2 linked regions of the Mus musculus genome follow. The protein of the gene in region 1 purifies or fractionates together with the protein of each later gene. This does not show direct contact. Links are inferred from orthologs where the notes say so. Each region holds a gene or a part of one and is shown on either strand. Other genes may lie near its edges.

Region 1 (4,256 bases):
TTCCTTTCTTCAATAATTATTTTCTTTATTTCTGCTTTTGTTTTGTTTTGTTTCCTTTTTGGCAGGATCTCTCTGTATAGTCCTGGCTTGGAGCTGATGCATCCCCAGACTAGTCTCGAATTTGAGATCCTCCTGCCTCCACCTCCCAAATGCTTAAAGGGATTAAAGAGGCATGTGCTGCCACATCCAACAACCATTTATTTTTAATTTGCTTAAATCAAAGATGGCAACACAAGCCGGGCGTGGTGGCGCACGCCTTTAATCCCAACACTCGGGAGGCAGAGGCAGGCAGATTTCTGAGTTCGAGGCCAGCCTGGTCTACAAAGTGAGTTCCAGGACAGCCAAGGCTATACAGAGAAACCCTGTCTCAAAAAAAAAAAACAAAAAACAAAAAACAAAAAACAAAAAAAAAAAGATGGCAACACATTGACAACTGCTCCAAAGTGTGAAATTCTTTTAAACAAGGAATCAATAAGGCCATTTTCACTCTCTAGGCTCTGGTCTACTAGCATATACAGCAGCTCTTAACACTGCCTTTGGGCCATCAAGATGCTTTTGTAGGCACACAAGCTGACAACCTGAACCAGAGCCCTCAACCCATACCCCCAAAATTGTCTTGACTTCCTCCACACAAACCCACACACACACAAGAGTAAATTAAAGTTACCTGCATTGATTTAAAAGCACACACAGGTTAGTAACTATACATCAAAAAGTATATAAAATATGACACATGCCTCAATGATTAAAGAGAATCATGTCAGTTTGATAATAGATGCAAAACCCAAAGTAAAAACAGGGAAAGTGTATTATGGCAATGGTTTAGTCCATCTCAGACTGTATCAAAAGACAAAGTGAACTGAGATGAGACGATGTATCCATTACTACAGTGACTGAAGACTCTGTATGTGTGTGTGTGTGTGTGTGTGTGTGTGTGTGTGTGTGTGTGTGTTCCAAAACTCAAGCCTGGCCAGTGTGATCCAGACCACCCTCCTGCCTGCTAAAGACAGTCTCTTGGCTGCCTTCTGATCATTTTGGCTCTTCCAGCACCAATTCTGCCTGCATGCTGCCATGCTTCCCACTATGATGATAATGACCTGAACTCTGAAACTGGAAGCCAGCCCCAGCTAAATCTCTAAGAGTTACCTTTACCTTGGTCATGTTGTACCTTCACAATAATAAAACCCAACTAAGAAAATGAGGATCTAATGAAAATTAAGAATCTTTCAGACAGCCATCTTTAAAACCATAGAAAACAGAAAGTAAATTTGAGGTCCGGTTTTAGATTATCTAGAGCCAGTAATAAAGCTGAGTGAAAAGGTGCCTGGAGACATCACTGTATAGCACTCACTAAGTGTTCAAGACTATCTGTGAAGGACATCAGCAGCACCCATTGTCCAAGCTGTATAGCTCACCACGTTCCTGGTCTCGATGAGAGAGACATCAGTCCTTGAAACATCTCAAGTCACAAGGATGCTCAGAGAGCCAGGACAGAATCGTGGTGAGATCAAACACCATGTACTGTCTATAGCATCCTCGGAGTCAGAACCTCATGTCTAACTGTGAAGTTGGAGAATCTGGCCATGTCACCACAAAATTCAAACAGAATGAAGTTAGCCATTTTTGTTACACTTACGCTGTGAAGTCTGCAGCTGCTGTCGCAGCTTTGGTGGCATCCTTATTCAATGTTGCACCCCAAACAGCACCTTTATGACCCAAAAATGTTCCAATCCAGTCTCCTGTATCTCCCTGGCGGAGCATGGGCTTGCCATCTAGAAAATATTTTCAGACATCTGTGATTTAGAAGCATGCAACGTAATACCAAATCCTGAGCAGCAAACTACTGGAAAACCGTTGTTCTGACTGCTCCCCCCTACTCCCATTAAGCCGTGGGGGCGTGGGGGAGGGTGTCCCCATCCTGGTCTGTGCATATGGTCTCAGTGACCTAGGGACTAAGGAGTTGTAGCCACTCTTCCTGGGAAGCATAAGCAATTTTGGGACCGAATGAGAGGCCTCCCTCATCACCTTTGCAAACTCGGATTACAAAGCAACTATAAAGACCTGGGAAACGCTCTTCCACAAGACCTGATTCCGATTCCCAGCGCCCACACGGAGGCTGACAACAGCCTCTAACTCCGGCTCTGGACAATCTGATGCCTTCCTCTTGGGGCACCCCTTCACACAGGTACAAGCATGCATAGAGACAACACAGGCACACATAAATAAAAACTTCTGAAAAACCGTGGGCTGGATGCCAGTGACATGCGGTGTCAAAACGATCTAGATAGCCGCTTTTTACTTTGGACCACATAAACCTAACGTACACTTTCGTCGGGGAAAAAAAAAAATGAGGCTCACACCACAAAGGATGAAACAATGAGTGAGAGGACATAAAGGGCACTCCTCTCGGCCTGGCCTAATTTCTTCTTCCCGTAAATCCTTGGCAAACACAATGTAGTTGTGTGGGTAGAAAGGCGAGGTGTTGGGGAGCACTAACAACGGTGGGGAGGAGGGACGCATAAAGCCCGGCCAGGGGCGACCCTCTAGTCCCAGCAGCGCGATGGCTGTCGCTGGCAGCCACGACCCACCCACCCGTCGGCACTCGGGAGCCGCGGCCGTCGCGGGCTCAGCTCACCTTTGCAAGCGCTGATCAGAAAGTAGCCGTAAGGCGTGATGCCGCTGAAGGCCAAATCCACCACGGGCCGCGTGTGGCCCGAGCAAGTGAGCGGCGTCTGCCTCATGGCCATGGCGGCGGCGAGCGCGGTGACGCGGAGCGGGGACCGAGGGTCGCGGTCGTCCTCCTTCTCTGCCGCGGCGCCTCAGGCTGCTTGAGGCCCCCGCACTCACGCCGAAGGAGGCCGGCTCCAGAGTCCCCGCGACTCGCGGCCGCCAAGGGAGGGACAGGGAGGGAGGGAGGAGGGGAGGGGAGCGCCGGAGAGCCGGCCTGCCGCCACTCACGGTCCCTACCGGTAGCGGCAGGACGTGACGTCGCCCGACGCGTCGCGTCAGCCGGAAGTGACGACTGGCGGGAAGGCGGTAGTTCCCAGCAGCAGCGCGAGAAGCAGTGTGCGCAGGCGCGAGCTCGGAGACCGAACCCATGCTGCTCTGACGACGTCAAGCGCGCGGCGTCCCGTTGCTACCCAGTGTTGGGAGCCGCCGAGTCCGTCCCTTGTAGGATGCTGTTGTAGAGTTGTAACCTTCTCATTGCTAAGCTACAGACACACTTTTCCATAATCATCTCACATCTAACTGCCTACCCAGTAGCAACCATTCTGTCGCTCTCCTTCCCACCCCCCTCCCGGCATACACCGTCACAACTCACAAACAGTAATGACTTCCCTAATAGAGTGGTTATGCTAACAACATTTATATCCTGGTGACAGATAAGTGACTGGCGTTTAGTGGATGGCCAGCAAATGCTTATTTGCAAGTGGGAAATATTCACTTAGTGCTCAGCAAGGATCCGTGACAACCTAACTGATAAGGGCTCTTTCAGTGGCTCTAGCAACTATCACTGCGGCTGGGGAGGGAGAGACCCCAGTCTACTGGGCTAAAGTTCTTGCCATGTAAGCATGAAGTGTGATACCCAGTACCGACAAAAAAAAAAAAAAAGCTATACATGGTGTGATACATGCTTGGAATGCAGCACTGAAAAGATACCAATCCCTGCCAGCCAGCATAGCAATCAGTGAGTTCCAAGTATGAGTGAAAAACATCTCAAAAACAAAAGAGTGTAGATGCATCTGGACCAGTGAGCCATTCTTCACTGAGAGGCTCCTGAGAGGAGGGACCGAACGGATCAGAAATAAAGAAGACAGGAAAGTTGGGGTCAGGAGGTTTTCCCTAAAACTATGTCTTATGCTAAGCTAATTTATTAAGATGTACAGCATCTTATATACTGTTTGTATGGGGAAAATGGAACAGAAAAACCTATCATACAGTGGGACGAAGTCATCAGAAAGCTAACCAAGCAGTGTTGCACAAAAGGAACACAGAATACTTCATGTGTGCCACAGACCAAGCACACACTGGCCTGGGACTGACTACTCCAGTCTCTTTAGGAGGAAAAGTCACGTTCTCACAGACTGAAATCTTAACTCTGGGGGGCCTGGTTCCAGACTTTGCTATGTCTGACCCTGGTCAAAGGCATAGAGTTGGTATCCCCTTTCCCCTTTCTGAAAGCCTCTTGTATCAGCCTGGAACCTAACAGTGAATGGCTCCTGGGGCTCCTAAGACTGACTTCTGCCTACCACACA
Region 2 (3,103 bases), on another chromosome or scaffold:
CACCCCATAACCATCCCCTAATGAGCTATTTCCTCCCAGTCCTACCTCTTAAAATCTATCCAAATGACACTAGCAGTTTGAGACAGATGTCAAATGTGGCACATGAAGGCAATGTTAAACATCAATTCCTGTCTCTAATGCCTGTCACAAGTTTTCATTGCCCCAAGATTTCTACAGCAAGATGCTCTTAGTAAAACCATAAGCCTACCTGCAAATGTGGCAAACACAGGAATGAGTGAAGTTCCCTTTCAGGACCAGCTATCTGTGCTCTCATGATGTAGATGCTTCTCAGCTCTCTGGTGGTATCTGTCCTTGGTTATATGTAAAGACTTATAAGCCTTAAGCAGCAGATTGGAGTACTATCATTCAGCCCTCAATGGGACTACCTTCAGCCTTTCTTCAGGACTGTGCCAGGCTGGCCCCAGCTTCCTCAGGGCCCACCATACTCAAAGCTCTCCCAGCTGCCTTCCATCCAGAAATGTGTGGGTACCAACTGCTGATGGCTGGCATCCTGCCTCTTTGCCTGCTGTTCTCTCACTTAAAGATGCAGCCTGTTATGAGAGCCAGGGCTTCCCTCTCACTTGTAAAGCAGCTACAGTGCCTGGGAGAACAGCCTCTACTTCAGGTTATAACACGTGCAGTATACCAAAGGGAGTTGAGCAGTAGGAAGTGGCCTTTTGGAAAGACAGCAAGTGCAGTAAGACATCACATGCCCACTATCAACAGAAAATTAATTTTATTTTTAAATCCAAGGGACCGGATTAAAAAAAAAAATCTACCCTCAGAGGCAAGCCAAGGTGGAAAAGGCTAGGAAGGCAGACAGCAAGATTAGGAGCATGTCCACTACAGGCCTCTTCATTCGGGCGCTGCCTCCATCAGATATCCATTCTCTGGGGCCATGTACCCATCACCACCCTCTGCCTCCATGTACATGTCTCGACCATCACTACCTAGCCCTTCCAGCCCATTGTCCTGACCGCTGCCACCCCCACCCCGGGCCTCATCCCTGCCCCGCTCACTGCCCCGCTCCCCACGCTTGTGCTCTCGATCCCGATCACGGTCTCGGTCCCGACGACGTTCCCTCTCACTCCGGTGACTACGTCGCCTCTCCCGGTCTCGATCCCGGCCCTTCTCCTCTGGGCCATCAGGGCCTTCAGGGCCAAGCTCTCCAGGAGGCCCATCATCAGGAGCTCCATCACCAGCTTCAGAGGGTTCAGCCATGTCGCCGCCGCCACCACCACCACTGCCACCACCGCCACCACCTCCTCCACCTCGAAGCTCCTCTTTTCGCTCCCGTTCCCTGCGTGCTCGCTCCCGGCTCCGACTGCTTCGTCGCTTTCGGTCTCGGTCCTTGTCCTTGCTACGCTCCCTGGACCGTCGCCGCTCATCCTTGTCTCGACTCCGGGAGCGCCTCCTCCGGTCCCGAGAGCGGGAGCGTCTCCTTTCTCTCTCCTTGTCTCGTTCTCGGCTTCTTTCTCTGCGCTCCCGCTCGCGGTCCCGGTCCCGGTCTCTGTGTGGAAGCGGGGAGGGGCCCGGCCTATATGAGGTTAGCACTGTGTGGCAGGGCACCCCTTGTGACTGCCCTATCCCAAGAAACCAGATGCCCAATCTTACCTCTCATCATATCGGGAAGTGTCATCTCGGCCCGAATGCCTGATATTCACATCTGCCCCACCTCTTCTGGTACCACCAAGGCCACCTCCTACGGGCAAAGGAACACAAGGTCAGTGGAAACAGTACAAAGGGGAAAATCTTAAAGGGGCCTATGCAGCTGACAAAAAAACAAGCACCCCTACTAACTGCCATGGGGCATAATCTCCTGCCAATCACTTCCATGTCCACTGGTTGTAGGATAGCCATGTTATCCACAAGACTTTTACAAAGTGCTAGAGCTGAGGACACCCCAACAAGAACCTTCTTGACTCCCAAGCTGTCCATCTTACCTGAGGCTTGAGGTTTTATTTAGGCTAGTCCACTACCAATTTGTACTTTGAGCATAAAGTCCAAAGTGTGAACTCATAGAAAAGCTGAAAGAAGCTAGGTTTGGGATTGTACCCCTTTAATCTCATACTTTGGAGCAGAGGCAGCCTGGCCCACAGTGAGCTTCAGGTCAGCCACTACGTGGTGAGACGAAACAAAACAAACCCAGAAGTTGGAACACCTGCCACACCTAGATTCCCAGGGTACACTACATTTCCAGCCTTCTCAGCTGCCTCGTGCTCCCCACCTTAGCCATGTAACATTTACCTTCTGAGGAGTGAGCTCACCTTCCTTGTCTCTGTACCTTCTACTTCCCTGTCAGTCTCAAAGCACCAACTCAGACCCTGCCCTGCTCATCACACTATAGCACGCTCCAACGAACTGTTAGAGGCCATCAGTACCTCCCCAACTGTTCAAAGAAAGCACTACCACACCTCCCCAGATTCTGATGTGCCACGAATACTTCAAACTTGCAGATTCAATACGTGGTCTATAAAGGTGATTTTCACCCAACCAATAGCACAAGGGAGCAGGTGACAGTCTTATCTTTCAGACAGGGATCTACTAATGAGCCACTTGCCCCAGTGACTTGGCAAGGAGGGTCATGTCTCAGAATCCCATCTGCCTGTGGTGGTTTCCTGCACCATCCACCTGAAGGTTTAGTGAGGTGGGGCTGTGTTTCACACAGGAGCACAGGCAAAGCGAAGAGGTCAGCCACATGCTAGGCTGTTAAACTAGGTATAGATAACAGGTTGGACTACTGCAAAGCAGGACCCAGACTTCCAGCTGCTGGATCACAGTCTAACAATGAGCTAGGCCATTATCAATACAAGAAAATGTCTATAGTAAGAGTTCTGTAATTTGGGTTGCTTAAAAAAAACAAAACAAAACAAACAAACAAAAAAAACAGGAAACAGCTGCGCAGTGGTGGCGCACGCCTTTAATCCCAGCACTCGGGAGGCAGAGGCAGGCAGATTTCTGAGGCCAGCCTGGTCTACAGAGTGAGTTCCAGGACAGCCAGGCTACATAGAGAAACCCTATCTCGAAAAAACCAAAAAAACCCACAGAAATATTATAAGAACATGTTTTTGTTTTCATCCCAGGTGTGGGCATATGGGACTGC

Evidence for each region.
Region 2: the proteins of Strap (region 1) and Snrnp70 purify together in Homo sapiens (affinity purification with mass spectrometry; 3 studies listed by BioGRID and IntAct, with this or other methods). This does not show direct contact. The link is inferred for Mus musculus from reciprocal best matches to the Homo sapiens genes STRAP and SNRNP70.

What each region holds. Positions count from the first base shown.
Region 1 is NC_000072.6:137,733,846-137,738,101, reverse strand, and holds the start of Strap (serine-threonine kinase receptor-associated protein), read right to left. Parts: upstream 3,021-4,256; 5' UTR 2,748-3,020; coding exon 2,636-2,747; intron 1,773-2,635; coding exon 1,637-1,772; intron 1-1,636. UniProt on the Homo sapiens protein: The SMN complex catalyzes the assembly of small nuclear ribonucleoproteins (snRNPs), the building blocks of the spliceosome, and thereby plays an important role in the splicing of cellular pre-mRNAs.
Region 2 is NC_000073.6:45,375,742-45,378,844, forward strand, and holds the end of Snrnp70 (U1 small nuclear ribonucleoprotein 70 kDa), read right to left. Parts: exon of another isoform or gene 3,068-3,103; intron 1,703-3,067; coding exon 1,615-1,702; intron 1,538-1,614; coding exon 856-1,537; 3' UTR 713-855; downstream 1-712. UniProt on the Homo sapiens protein: Component of the spliceosomal U1 snRNP, which is essential for recognition of the pre-mRNA 5' splice-site and the subsequent assembly of the spliceosome. SNRNP70 binds to the loop I region of U1-snRNA.